2 linked regions of the Neodiprion lecontei genome follow. Each later gene encodes a partner of the first gene's protein in a complex. Links are inferred from orthologs where the notes say so. Each region holds a gene or a part of one and is shown on either strand. Other genes may lie near its edges.

What was found.
Region 2: the proteins of N-alpha-acetyltransferase 35, NatC auxiliary subunit (region 1) and N-alpha-acetyltransferase 38, NatC auxiliary subunit are in contact, whole or in part, in a cryo-EM structure (PDB 7MX2), measured with the Homo sapiens proteins. The link is inferred for Neodiprion lecontei from reciprocal best matches to the Homo sapiens genes NAA35 and NAA38. Residues at the interface, in NP_001308810.1 of Homo sapiens: Val30, Asp31, Ile32, Thr33, Phe36, Ala39, Cys40, Leu43, Leu45, Glu47, Leu48, Leu49, His50, Asp51, Phe54, Glu58, Ala59, Ala62, Ile63, Glu64, Met65, Met66, Ala72, Gly73, Met74, Gln306, Arg307, Leu309, Pro310, Pro311; in NP_001307854.1 of Homo sapiens: Ala41, Arg42, Leu45, Glu46, Leu48, Leu49, Arg61, Phe67, Leu68, Cys69, Thr70, Asp71, Arg72, Cys74, Ile77, Arg97, Val98, Leu99, Gly100, Leu101, Ala102, Met103, Val104, Pro105, His108, Ser111, Ile112, Glu113, Val114.

What each region holds. Positions count from the first base shown.
Region 1 is NC_060266.1:18,010,939-18,020,818, reverse strand, and holds N-alpha-acetyltransferase 35, NatC auxiliary subunit, read left to right. Parts: upstream 1-3,312; 5' UTR 3,313-3,431; coding exon 3,432-3,484; intron 3,485-3,958; coding exon 3,959-4,020; intron 4,021-4,160; coding exon 4,161-4,696; intron 4,697-4,947; coding exon 4,948-5,140; intron 5,141-5,384; coding exon 5,385-5,566; intron 5,567-5,730; coding exon 5,731-6,063; intron 6,064-6,693; coding exon 6,694-7,086; intron 7,087-7,248; coding exon 7,249-7,422; intron 7,423-7,818; coding exon 7,819-7,935; intron 7,936-8,026; coding exon 8,027-8,167; 3' UTR 8,168-8,817; downstream 8,818-9,880. Other genes in the region: inositol polyphosphate 5-phosphatase OCRL, read right to left, coding at 1,079-1,144. UniProt on the Homo sapiens protein: Auxillary component of the N-terminal acetyltransferase C (NatC) complex which catalyzes acetylation of N-terminal methionine residues. N-terminal acetylation protects proteins from ubiquitination and degradation by the N-end rule pathway.
Region 2 is NC_060265.1:27,127,410-27,132,254, forward strand, and holds N-alpha-acetyltransferase 38, NatC auxiliary subunit, read right to left. Parts: upstream 2,654-4,845; 5' UTR 2,510-2,653; coding exon 2,444-2,509; intron 2,269-2,443; coding exon 2,026-2,268; 3' UTR 1,953-2,025; downstream 1-1,952. Other genes in the region: vam6/Vps39-like protein, read right to left, coding at 1-170, 253-497, 585-817, 913-1,165, 1,246-1,419, 1,538-1,607; H/ACA ribonucleoprotein complex non-core subunit NAF1, read left to right, coding at 2,839-3,683, 3,794-3,920, 4,008-4,276, 4,384-4,562, 4,671-4,845.

The sequences.
Region 1 (9,880 bases):
TCAGGAATAGAGAACTTCTAAAAATATGTTCTTTCAACTCTGCATCGGTATTAAGATTAATGAAAAATACTACCAGTCGATAATTGAATAAGGAACAAAAAGGTCGAGGGAAACTTTGCTCTTAAAATGATCATTTCAAAGCTACAGCTTGCTAAACTACTGAATTGCTAAATAATGGACTTTGTAGTAACTGGAAGAATAAAATAAAAAATAACGCCACTAGATAATCGAATAAGAAATAAAGAATACCAGCAAAACTTTGCGCTCAAAACGATCGTTCCGAAGCTACAACTTGCTAAACTATATTTATGCATATACAGAAATCTTGCAGGTCATACTTAGTTTGTACTGCCAGGGATACGAATTCTGAGTTGATTCTAATCACTCGTTACTCAAATATACCATCATTTTCTGACAATGCACGAAATAAACAGAGGAACTTTCATTATCTGTTGGAATCAACGTCATTAGAGTTTCCAAGAAATTAAAAGTGACAGTTCTATTCTATAAGTTTATTAAAAACCTAAAAAGCTTTGAGTTTTATTTTTCATGTCGATTAAATTTTGAATACAGGTATTGATTTTCCCAACTTTGTAGTTTTAATTTTATACTCAAGTTTTTGTTACGATGTCATTAACATTGTAGGAGTGTTTCAGTTTCTGTATCATTCAAAATGAGGTTTTTTTTCCTTCAAATTTTGAATACTCTTTTGCGTACAGATTTTGTAAAATAATGACATTTCAATATTAGAATGTTCAAATTTTTATTGCGTTTTCTGATATTTGTTTTATTAAAACATGACCCAAGTTTTTGAACTTTGGTATGAGATTCAATATGAATGTATTGAAGTTTGAAGTGGAGTCGAATTTCTGGGATGGTTATTAATTTTGGATTGTAAAATATCCTGACTTTTTCAGGTTTTCCAAATTACCAAATTATAATTTTTCAGATACCTTTTGCGTCTTTGAAAATTATAATGCTGAGTGCAAGATTGCACGACTCGCAATAAATTATTATTTTTATTTATTTTAAACTCTTCATTTCACTTTTATTCAAATTTTTCATTCAACAAGGATACAATAACTACTGTTTCACCCGACGTGAATTTCGATTGGACAATCGCCAGTTGCTCCGTTGATGACATCGCTGAGTTTTGATCTAGAAAAAACGTAGATAAATTTGGGCATAATTATTTTTTGTGTCATAACTTACGTAAGCTAACAGTTGAGAAAAAATACAAGTGAAAAATTGCTGCAATTGGATATTAGCAATAATATAATACATTTTACAATGTGGTAAACATAAATAAGTATGTAATGGAAAGCTAAACAATTTTGTTCGCAACTTCTGGTATACTATATTTGAGTTTTGAATTTTTTGAATTGAATCAGAAATTCCACTTGAGCATTATTTTGCTATTCTGAAAAAAATTTATAGTTCAACAAGCGTACTCATTTTAATTACTGCAGTCCAATTCGAAATGAAAAGAACATAGTAAATGGATAATTCAAAATGAAACAAGATCGTTAAATTTAGGATTAGCGCAGTAAAGTCTAACAGCTACGAAGCTTTTAATTTTTTTAAAATTTAAATAACAATAATTGTAATTAGATTTAAATACAGGTGGATACACAAACACAAGTCCAAGAAATTTGGATCTGCATTGGATTTTACATTAAAAAAAAAATGATAACGTAATGTAATAGAATTAAAGTTATGCAGGAGGATTCGTCGCAAAACAATATATCAAACTTATTTAAAGATATACGATGTAATTCAGACGCAGTCGATCTTTAAAGACTGAAACTGAATTACAATGAGGAATGTAATGAAAGTAATTGATGTTAAACGACTGATAACAGCATGAGAAAAGTAGCCTAATATAAATCTTAAATTTGGAAAATTGTTATAGGAGTTATTCAGTGATTTCAAGTATTTTGCGATGTGTGTATGAAACTAGTCAGCAATAGCTGTTTACACTTTTTGGTTAAGTTGGATTTTGAAAAATGTAAGTAATGCATTTGGCTAGTAAATTATCAACAAAATGTTGTTTGTTGTAACGTTGGCGAAATGATAAGGCTCAGTTTTTATCAGTTTTTATTCACCGCCTGCATAATACGAATATGAACAAATGCCAATAATCCAGGAACGAGATTTTACCTTCCACTGGATGTAACTACAAGCAGGGAAATATCCCTGATAAAGTTTGCAAAGAAACTTTCTTCGTGTTTCAGTCCGTTTTTAAACGGAACCCTTAGGGCAATTGTGGGCGTATTGATTTATAGACAATGAGAAAAGTTAATTACGAGATTTAAGTGATTGTTAAGTCTGTGAGGCAGACGCACGCAGAAGTGACATTTCCACTGAAGCATGAGTCAGTGACTGAGGCCGTGTTCGAAAATTGACTGACAGTACTGTCAACAATCTTTTATCTCTTTTGTGCTGCCGAGTTCATGGACAGCTCTGTCTCTGTCCTAGGGAATTTTTAGTACTGGCAGTCAATTTACGAACACGGCCTAAGCTGTAATAAAGACAATTTTCTTCTGATTTCCGAAATCCACCGTGTTTCAGTGTTGAAAACCACTGTTCAAAACTCCCTATGTGGTTACTCCAATCAACGATTCTGATTGGCTGTAGGCGGTTGAGCGGCCGCGGGAGTTTTGAAATCGCGGAAATCGTCTCTACATAATAATACCCAACGTCTGTCCGTTGACTGAAGACTATACTTCAGTCAACGTATACATAGTCAAAATCTTTTGTCTACGATGAAGTTTCTGGTTACGGTAGCAATGAACGAAGATCATGTTAAATGAAGATTATAGTTACAGTCACAAAAAACGTACAATTTTCATATTATTGTAGTGTTGAACTACGAAATTCTATGTTCTAACGATGTGATGTTTGTGTTTTGTTGACACTTCTATATACGTAACGCTCCTGAAAACAAAAATACATTAAGTAATACTTCATTTTAAAGTTGGCGATATTTTAGATACAAGACACCAGCGCTGTCTAGGGGTAAATTTTTCAGTTGGTAAAATTAAGTCAGTGGCTTGTCCGTGGGTAAAATCTTCCTTCCTAGGGTCCTAGGTAAAAATTCTCGAAATGCGAAAAATCATGTGAAAAATGCACGGACGTAAGAAATATACAACCAAGCGATCTGTAGTCTGTGTTTTTTTACGGACGAACGCAGTGGAAAGTAAAAAGTAAAAGCCAGGGTGAAAACCATTGCTGAACGTAAAAAAGCAGGGATTTATGCGAAAATGGGTTGGTAGATGGTGGGAATAAGCGATTGGCCTGTGGACATTACTGACTGATCTCTATATCGGTGACATTACTGCAGGCGCAAATGTGCTGCAAATTATTGCAGTGGAATAGGAAAATATTATAGGAAGGTTTAATTATAATATCTAATGAAGTAATTTTTTAAAATGACAGCTTTGGCAAGAGATCTAGTTGAAAATATTCACGAGAAAGAAATGCAGTAAGTTAACATTTTCATCCAACAACCCGATTTGACGAGTCTTCCGAAAATGTTGTCATTTTTAGGTTAGGAATAAGTCAACCCCAATCCATACTCCAAAGCTATTTCTATACAAAACACGTTTTACTTAATTATTATATTTTCCTTCTATCTAAATGGAATCGAAGTAATTTTTTCACCATCTTTTGATTGTAAAATGGCGGAAAATTGAAAAAAAATGTATTCAATTTATGAGTATAAAGTTTGTAACGTTGATATAACGTTACATTTTTAAGAAAAATCATGTATGTCGTAACTTTAGAATCGTTTGGAACTCAGTAGACTAGAAATACGGCAAAATATAATGTTATTTTGAAAAATCTGACTCCTGTAAGGTAATTCTGAAGATGCAATATGGTAATGTTTTAAAAAATGATTCATGACATTGACTGTACGTAATTCAAGCTCATCTTTATTTCTGTTTTAAACTTTCAGTTTCGACCAGCTGACATACAACTGGGTTGATATCACAAATGACTTCTTCAGTTCCGTGCAAAGTAAGCAGTATTCTCATTGTATTCTAGAAATTATTAGTTGTATGTTTATCCATACTTTTAAAGCTTTTTGTGACCATCTTCTGGAAGATTGACGGATTGCAATTATTGTAATTTAATTGACTAACGTTACCTATATTCAGGCTTGGAATTGGGTGAACTTTTGCACGATGAATTATTCGGCCTATTTGAAGCCATGTCTGCTATCGAAATGATGGACCCAAAAATGGACGCCGGGATGTTGTGCAATCGAGGAAACAGCAAGCCATATTCGTTCAAACAGGCAGTAGACTCTGGGGCATTAAAATTGCATAATTTAACCTTGGCCGAAGTGATCGGAATCATTGATTCGACGTATTCTTGCATAGTCTCTTGGCTTGAAGGGCACAGTTTGGCGCAAACTGTGTTTACTAATTTGTACTTGCATCAGCCAGGTCAAATATTGGACAAGTCATTGCGAACATTTTGTTATGCAATTTATAAGATTATTGAAATTATTAAAGACTGTATTAACAAGGCTATGGTTTTTGAGGAGGAAGATTTCCAAAGCGTAACATATGGCTACAGATTACAACAGGATATTACAGAGCAAAAGACTATAGCAATGCTGAAAGAGGTGGAAGAGGAATTGCACAGAAAAAGTAGAATAAAACCAGTCGATGATGAGTCTAATCGAGAAGTAAGTCCTTTTTCTTGTATTTTATTAAAATGTTTTATAAATTTTAACTTGTGGTATCTTCGATACGCTTAGCTGCATCCTAAGATTTTACGATGTTATTATTTTATTACAACTCGAGAGTTATTTGTCCAAGTATAATCACATCATAGTCGAGATTGTCGATTACTGAGTCGTTCAAACTAGAACATAAATTATGAATGATTACAGAATTGCGACTGCGAACGTTGAGTAATTTGATTTTTTTTCCACAGTATAATGATGCTCTGGCCTTATATGCTAGAATAAGGTTCACAAAGATGTTTTATCAAACCCTGTCGCTCATGGGAAGGAAAGAGCAGCTCCATCAAAACTTGGCTGATTGTCAAAGGCTTTTATCAAACTGCTCTGACATGATGCAGGTCATGATAAAAACTGTTTCTCGAGGTGTAAAAGCTGACGAATTATGTTAGTATACTTTCTACCTGAGTTAATTAGGTTTACAAGCGATTATGACTATTTAACTGTACTGTTTAAAGAATTTGCAAACTGTAAAAATTATTTTCATAACTTGACAAGATCTTATTGCAAATTCAAATTTTTCCTCTAATGCAAAAGTATTAGATAACTACTGATTTTAATTTAAATTTCTTTGACTTTTGTAAACATGCGTTTTGAAAAACTTTTAGAATGACGTCAATCCTTATTTCAGGCGATCATCCAAACATTATGGGTTTTGACCCTATGGTAAATCAGCGGTTATTGCCTCCGACGTTTCCAAGATACACGAAAATCAAACCACGAAGTGAGGCCTTGGAGTACATAGATGAATTATTAAATCGATTGAAAACGGTCAGCAAAATAACGGGGTACACTAGCTTCCACGGCGCTTTGGTAAATAAATTGGCCATCAAATAACATACAAACATATCTGATTGTACAACAATTATAGTAACAATGTTCATGAGTTATCAAGTCCGTAAGAAAATTTACTTTATTGTGCCAAATGTGAAAAAAAAACCTTTTCCACAAATTACAAATAATGCTCCTGCTTTTAGGATTTCTTTTTAGAGTTTTCACGCCAAAGCCCATGCATACTATCCAGATCCATGCTACAAATCGTTTACCTGCCTCTAACCAATCGAGTTTTTGGAACTCAAAGTTTCGGTGATGTATTGAGAGATGCTGCTAGGGCTTTTATTGCTCCTCCAGCATTGATGCCGAAAATCACACTACTGCAGAATCACCAAGCAAAGGATTATGTTGATGGGTTCTTGGGCCACTGTGTATGCTTGTTCGGTAGTTTAGTGCAACTTAGTGGACACAATCGAGCGCGGCAAAGAGATAAACTGGCCCATTTGTTAGAAGACTTTGCTGCTCTACAAGATGAGGTATTTTGAACTAGAAACATCAACATTTGTAGCAAAAGTGAAAGAATTTGCAGAAAATCTATGCTGAGTAGTCAAGTCGAGTTTAAACCTCCGCTAATCAATGCAGCCCTAGTTGGGAGTTTAAAAAGTTGAGAAAACTGAAAAGAGTCATGCAATTGAAGCAATGTCCTGTAATATCACTTGATTTGAAATAACTGCCAATTTATTATGTAGTATTTTCCTGTTTACTGTTCATCGATTGATGAGTAATACACTGAGAAAAATTTCTAATTGTGGTTATCATACAGTCCTTAGCTACTTTTATTTTTCATCATACTGATAAATGTACTTCGGGATAAAAAATAGACAAGAGTTTTGTAACTGCAACCCGAATATCTCGTATGTGTTACTTTTCGTTTAATTAGATGGTCACTCCTATATTTTATTGTAACTTGCGTAATAATTCGATGTTGAGGCTACAATAAATTGATGTTAGAGCTTTATTCAACAAAAAAATAGATTTAACGTTGCAATAACCAGAAAATGTAGTTGTACCGTTACTGTATCGTTACTCATTATGCAAAAATTTAGAAGTAGTTATGACAAATGAGATTTTTCTCAGTGGATTGATCCTGAAATTAATTTTTACAGGCTGAAAGAGTGGATTCATATCTGCACACACTATCTTTGAAAAGCGACACTCCAAGGCCACACTTGGCATATTTTGGCACATGGATATTGTACCACACGCTGCGTGTGATGGTTATGTATTTACTGAGTGGTTTTGAACTGGAATTATATTCGGTCCATGAGTATCATTATATATTTTGGTACCTGTACGAGTTTTTATATGGGTGGCTTATGTCTGCAATCACAAGAGCGGACTCCTTTCTCATGGAACAAGATATTCATAGTGAAACTCACAAAGGCAGAGGGGCTAAAAAAAGTGCTAAAAATAAGAAAAAAAAATCCACCCCTAGACCATACAGTCTAGAAATATTAATGTACCAAGCTATGCAGAATATTTGTGGCGGGTACTACAAGGTCAAGATTTTTTTTGATTCTGTAATATTTCTTTCGAATCAATTAATTTATAAATTTACAAAATTATCTGTTGGAATGAGTTCAAGAATAACCAAAGACGCTGTTTGTCCGTTATTTATGTTGACATTGATGAGCCTCGTCTAAAGTGTGATATTTTCACAGGCGTTGATGGGATTTCGAATGGATAAAAAGATTCCTCTACCCGAATCACACTTTGACTCGGAGCGAGTGAGATACGAGCACAGGTTGTTGCCTTTTGCATCATTATTAACTCCTCCACCAGTTCCTTATCAGGAATTTCTAGACATGACAAGTGGGCAGATGTTAAACAGAGATGTAAGTTAGTAGTCTGTGTAAATCGTAGGTAAAAAGTAACATCGAACTTTTATAAGTCACATTAGAAGACAGCAGACAAACTGCCGAGGGAAATGCAATTTCTTAAATATTTTCCTGAGCCGATTTTTTGGGAGATTTTGTGCCATAGTTTCGTAAAGTATACATGTATAGTATGTAGGATAAAAATTTCGATCTGATTGCAATATGGATATGTTGTAGTCTCGTAAAAGAACGGTTAGGTAAACATCTAAAAAATGCAGGATTTCTATATCTTAGTGAACACTACAACATATCCGAACAACAGCCGGATTGAAATTTTAACCCTTAAAAGCTGGTCATAAGTTTGTGGACCGGCTCAGATACATCGGTATACTCACGTGTTCTTTTGCAATACAGGAAACTGTTACAAGTGAAAAGCAGTACCTGGCTGGTTGCGGACACTTTCATCAGGCTAGAAATATGTTAGAAAGTGCTCTGTCCTTGTATCCAGCAAATGTGCATACAGTTAATCAGGTAATATACATACACTTGGTCTATCACAAAGTGCCGATGAAATCATTAATACAATGTCGTTGCTAATTTAATACTTCGAAATTGTTTTCAGATTAATGATTTACTCAAAGTATCGAAGACGAATTTTATTGTCCTGAAACTTTTGGCTGGAGGACATAAAAAGGATTCGACGGAACCCCCGATTTTCGATTTTTCGTGCCACCAACATTTTCCGTTGATTAAACTCGCTTAGCTTGTTTTATAGTTACCTCAATAAATTCCCATACATACAATAGTTATACATACCTATATGTTTACAGTGGACTCTCCATACCTACTTCTCGGCCCAGCTTCTCCTTGCATACAGTACTATACGAATACGTACTTCACAGGGCAGCTCTAGATTTGGAAGTAAACCGAGACTAGTCAGGGAATCTTATGGTTTTGAAAAAGTCTAGAAATTGTACTCATCCATTAAGAAAATGTATTTTTTCAGTGAGTGATTGTTGTGCTTTACTCAATGTTCTGTAGGTTTTGACTGCAAATTTACAGAGTGATAGTATAACATGTATCAGGAAAGAATAATAGCACGTGATCTAAAATGGCGGTAGGAATTGAAAGAGTGGATTTTTTGAATTTGTAACGAAGCTTTACTCAAATTTCTTTCCCCTAATTTTACTTATAGATATCAGAGTGAACTGAATTTCTTTTCAAACGGTTATTGAATTATGGAGAGTCTATTGTATTTGTTTGAGGATTAGTTATGCGTCCAAGTAATTTTCATATTTATTAAAACTGTTTTGAAAGTTGTAAAAAATGTTAAAATTCTTTGTATGTTTCTTTCCATTCATGCTTTCGCATTCACGACAAAAATTTCTGTATTTCTGTAAATAAACTATAATATCCATTGTTAGAAATAGTTTCATTTTATTCTTCTCTCTCTCGTCACTTTACTGCGGGCTGTGTTTGCATTAAAATGCATCATCTGCCAAACATAGGACACCAAATTTACAAGTATCTGCCTTATGTAATAAAGGGATATCCAATTTCTCCGTTTTAAAGTTACGTTAGTAACTTATTGAACATAGAAGATTGGTGCTGTGTGTAATTTTCAGGATGAATGAGCCACATCGGTTGAATCAAAAGTTGCGAAAAGAGTAACAAGCCAGGTTTAGCCAATAAGCTCATTGCTTTTTTAGATATGTCATGATCGCACAGTGCTGATTGACCCGATACTTTCGCCAATGATGAAGAAATGGAACTTATAAATAAGCGTTTATTTATTACATTATATAATTAGCGGAGGTGTGTTGGTCAGCGGTTTAACTAGAATCTTGCTCACAAGAAATCCGGGCTTACATTACATCCACTTTTGAAAATAATTGCAATCTTTGTGCCAAAATGTACTTCCTAGATGATTTTAGAATTCCGTCTGAATCCAATGTTTTTTGCAATGGAAAATTTATAAGACACTCTTTGAGGTTTTTTAAAGATGTACAAAATGTTTTGACAACCATTGTAAGGTTTTAAAAATGATTAAGCTCTGGTATTTTTTAGATCCAATCTCAGTCCCAATTGTATAATGTTTTTGAGCTTATTTTATTCACTATATAGATCTCAAGAGATTGCCTGAAAAAAGTTTAGAAATAGTTACTTCTAGAGTAGACGAAAATATGTATTTGTAAGCACGTTACAACAAATGTTCGTCAGTAATGATATTTATATACTGTAATGGGGATTTTCATAAATGTTTTTCACACATCTTGCGTGGAACTGATCAGCAAGAAAAAAATTAGCGCTAAAACATTAGAATCTGATTAAAAACACCAGAGTTCAGTAATTTTTAACATTCTGCTTAAAAAAAAATTGTTCTCAAATTGTGAATATCTTAGCTTATGTCGTATTCGAGATTGTTCAGATTCAATCTTGTTAGGTAGTTGGTATGTTGAATTATGAGTGTTTACAA
Region 2 (4,845 bases), on another chromosome or scaffold:
GAAACCAGATCAGGGAAAAGTCTGATTACTTCGTACGGATCAGTACCTGATTTGAAAAACTGCTCCATAGACTCGGCAAATTTTTTATTAGCAAAAAGATAGTGGGCGTATAACGTTTGTATTTTCCACGTTTTTTTTGCTTTTTCTTCTTCTGTTATGTCAGACAAATGCTAGAAACAGATAATTTACCATGATCATTGGTTGTTTAAACAATTATTTTATGAATTCTTCAATAATAAATGATATGCTCACAGTTAATTTTAAAGCCAGCTGAAACTGATTCTGTTCAAGAAGTGTTCGAATCTGATGCGTCACCTCCACGGCATTTATACACCAAACTTGGCTAACTGATGCTACATAAACAAGGCCCTTTCTACACCTGCACAATAATCTAGCTTTGTTAAGTTCTGGTATCGTTTGAATGTGTAAACAACCTTCCAAGGTATAAACTTCCAAAGTATCGTTAATTATACCCATGAGAAATGGATCATCCCATGCTAGAAAATAAATATTCTCGCAATATATTTTTTAATATCTCGAATTGAATTGTATTTAAGAAACACTGTTTTACTGATTATTGATACCTGTAGCACTAGGCGAATCTGGCCATTTGACAGAGTTGTGTTGGACCAATTCTCCTTTTGTGTTCATAAGAATTGACTGTGAATCTTTTCCTAAAGCAAAAGACGTGTCTGACAGTTTTGTTATCCCTGGTTCAGGAGACTTTCCACTTGGAAATAATTCCTTACTTGTACCATCTAGATCCAAAAGTATATAAGATAATCCACGGAATCCCAAAACCACAGTTTCTCCGCACCTACAGCGTAAAATGTTCCGAGCAAATTTAAATAAGATATGCAACCAATTGCTGCTCAACCTTTTTCTTTTACAATCTAATAACTTGTTTCGTACCACGACAAGACTCGAGGCACATCAGGAACAGTTAATTCTTCTCCAAAGTCTATAAATTGATCCACCTTCCACTCGTACAATTGTAATTTTCGCTTCACAGCAACACACAAGCGAACAATTGTATCTTTTTCACCTGTCAAACTCTGAGTACGTTGTACATCCAACACGAAGAGCGTCGCACCTTTCGTTTTTTGCAACTGACATATTTGAGGGATTGTTGCAGAATTTAAGTCATGTACGCAAATGATGTTGTCTAAAACATTGATTTTCGGACATTGTTATCGCCTTATTGGCAATTGAAAATTCAAATTTTTATTTTCTTATTCGACTCACCGGTCAAAAGTATCAACAAGTTGTACTCTGGTACAACTTCGATCTGCAAAATAGGTTTTTTGCTAAAGTTTTTACCGTATCGAAGCAATTGTAATTCTTGTTTGTCGTTTGACTTTGGAGGAACACTGTACATTAACAAATGTCCCTGTCTAGTGCCGATGAGTAAGTTATCATCTGTAAGTAAAAAGTTTCACTGATAATTCAAAGTTGCGTTTTATATATAATTTAGAATACTGCACAGTTATTTCAGTTAAGGTGTAGAACGATTGAGGTTATGTTTGGCGCTCATTACCGTAAGCAGTAATTGATTCGATCTGAACTGTCAATTTCAAGAGAGGTGAAGCTTCGTAGGCGTCGTGCATCTTAACACTCCGTTTGCACAAAGATGTTTGGATCTTCACGGTATTTTAACACCGTGGAATCTTACACTGACATTTCACTCCACGACGACGTTTGGGGTTCTGCTTCTGTCAGTTACCGTGCCACGCAGCACTTGTTTACATTAAACGTTGACGTCAGCTGGTTAGGTATTCAAAAATGGTGTCTCCACTGACTGACGATGTTACTTTTAAAGAATATCAATCCAAAAACCATCATTTTGTTTGAGCCGAGGGCTGTGCCGATTATAATAACTTTGTAGACAACAATGACCTTTACAGGTTACTTCAGTTGTGCTGGATGTTGATATTTGTGAGAGAATCGTAAGATAATATGTTACTAAAATGTATTGACTGGTCAATGTACAGACGTAGAATAGTTTATTCTTATACTTATTATTAATTATGCGTCTAAGTGAATTGTTACAATGTGTCGACCTGGCACCATAACAAGCCCCAGGGCTCTAGCTTCGGTGTGTTCTTCTGACAAGAATTCCGAACACGAGCCTAAAATAACATTGGCATCACGATCTGTACATAAAAAAGCCCCCGTCAAAACTCGGCCATCGGTCATTTTGATTTTAAGGTGACGATTCAGCCATCCTCTCAATTTTAGTTTGGCTGGTGATTCCTCCACTGGCAAGGCCTGAAAAAAACATGAATTAAAACAAATCAATTATACCTCATGTGTTTGTTCAGTTATGGATTGTATTAGCTAAAGGTAGTCATTTTTAATTGAAATAAATAATACCACATTTTTAGACAAAAATTTTCTAAATTATCATAACCGTCACATTCGCTAATTGTCACGATCCAATTACCTCTCCGTTACCGTGAACAGCCTCAGTATTTGGAGTTGTCGACATGCTGTGCACCGTGTCTTTCATATTCTTGTTGATTTATTAGGATAGGTGAAAATCTAAACGTATTATACAATTACAATCAGTTTGCTTGCGCAATTTTCCACAAGTAAAACCAGCAACAACAAAATCGTTGACAAAATAAAACCGTTCCTGACATCTATCAAAGTGTTGAAGAAACTCGGTGGAAGTTAGATAATACCGAGCTAGAGGGAGCGGAAAGTAGCTGAGACGGCGGAGCTATGGCGCATGGTATTTTTTAAACTTTCCGCGGTATGTACATCATTAACTATTGTTCATTTCGCATGTAAAAATACTGTCTACACCAAAGTAAATTACCAATAAATCATAATACCATGTCTTCCGAGGGCGTAAGGGACCCTGAGAATCAGCGCGAAGATATTCTTCTAACCTCAAAATCAAGCAGGGTGGATATCGGTGAAGAGAATGTAAGAGACACTGTAGATGATGTAAAAATTGTATATTCTAACATCAAAGATGTCACAGAGAAAGATGAAATTACGGACTCGATAAAGTTGCTTCAACATACGTCAGAAACAAGTTCGAAGCATGATCTAATGGAGATTGACAGCTCGTATATGAAATCAGTAAATGATTCTGTCGAGGCCAATGTGACCACTGAGGAAGGTCAGATTAATGTACCTATTAGCATAGATGATGTCGAATCCTTGAAAGTTGTTGGAAATGGACTTGATACTCCAGAAATACAAGAAAGACACGCAACTCGGACAGCAAATTTGATCACATTGCCTGGTCAACTGGTTGCTCAAGACGCACAGAATGACAGGCCTATTGAGATCAAAAATAGTGATCAAAATGAGTTGATGCAAAAAGACAAAAGCGTTGAGAACGCAGCTTCGATGGATTTAATAAAAGCTCAGGCAGCTTCAAACTCAAGGGATGGTATCTCCAAAGTAGAGGTAATAAACGTAGTAAATTCCTTATCGTATTTAGCGGCAGAATATGCAAGTTCTGATTCGGATGAAAATGAAAAAAGACCATCATCACCATGCGAAGTAATTACCATTGTTGATGACCGTGGCAATGTGAGACAAAATAACACACAGTATCGAATGGAGTCTATAGATGATGACTCTGAAAGTGGATCTAGTAGTATAAATTCCAGTGGTAGCAATTATACCACAGAAACCGATAGTGATATTGATAGCGAATCAGACAGGTAAGACATTGCTAAATATTCCTTACCTGATGTGAAAAATTGCTTGTTGATGAATACTGCAGTTTGTGTGGACAAGATTTTGTTTGTGACGTATGATTGTTACATTGCAGCCCTATACGGGTCAGTAAAATTGATTTACCAAAAATCAAAAATATTAAAAGTGAGTTTGAGGGTCTACCGCCAATCGAAGAATTGAAAATTACAGTACCTGAAGAATCATGTGACCACCTAGGCGAGGTAAATATTTCTATATTTGACGGAAGATAGAATAGATGATGTAATTTTGTTTTATTTTCGTGAAATAATAATTTTATATGCCTCTAGGTCACTGGGTTTGTAGAGGAGTTTGTTATAGTACGACCAGTTTCGGGTAAACCCACTCTAAATCTTGATTCAATTTTATTTCTTGAAAAAGGCCAAAAAGTCCTTGGCAAGGTGTTTGATGTATTTGGTCATGTGGCTGATCCTCAATATTGTGTTCGATTCAACAGCGAAGCACACATTCAACAATCGGGGATTGTTTTGGGAATGGAAGTATATTATTCTCTAAACGATGAGCACACATCTCTGGTCTTCCTTCACGAATTAGTCAAGTAAATATTTACCTCTTAAGTTTACATCGCAGTCTCTCAGTACATGGCCATCGATTCCCAAGTCAGTTAGTGAACATTTGAAAACACGTATTTTCAACTCTTACTAGGCTGAAAGGTGCTGATATCTCTGGAGAAGACGATATGGAGCCTCCAGAATTTTCAGATGATGAGGAGGAACGAGCTTATAATCAGCTGCAAAGACAAAAGCAACGTCACAGACCAGGAATGTCAGAGAGTCATGATAACTGTGGTGATGTAGTGATCCCACAAAAACGTCAATGCCCCGGTAAGTATGTTTCAGTAAATTTGTAAATCTCTTAACAAAGTTAGCTAATTTCGGGTAATGTGATAGCATAAAAAATATTATGAAATTTCATTAATACGCTTATTATAGAACGTCCTCGAAATCCTTGGGGCACTGACTGGAGATCTCAAAACTATGGTAACCGCCCACCAAATCCAAATTCCGGCCATGGTACGCTTCGATGGATCTCTGATAATTGTCGGCCTTCATTTCAAAATTCGCCCAACTTACAAAACGTAACTCACTCGCCTAATCAGTCTTCCCC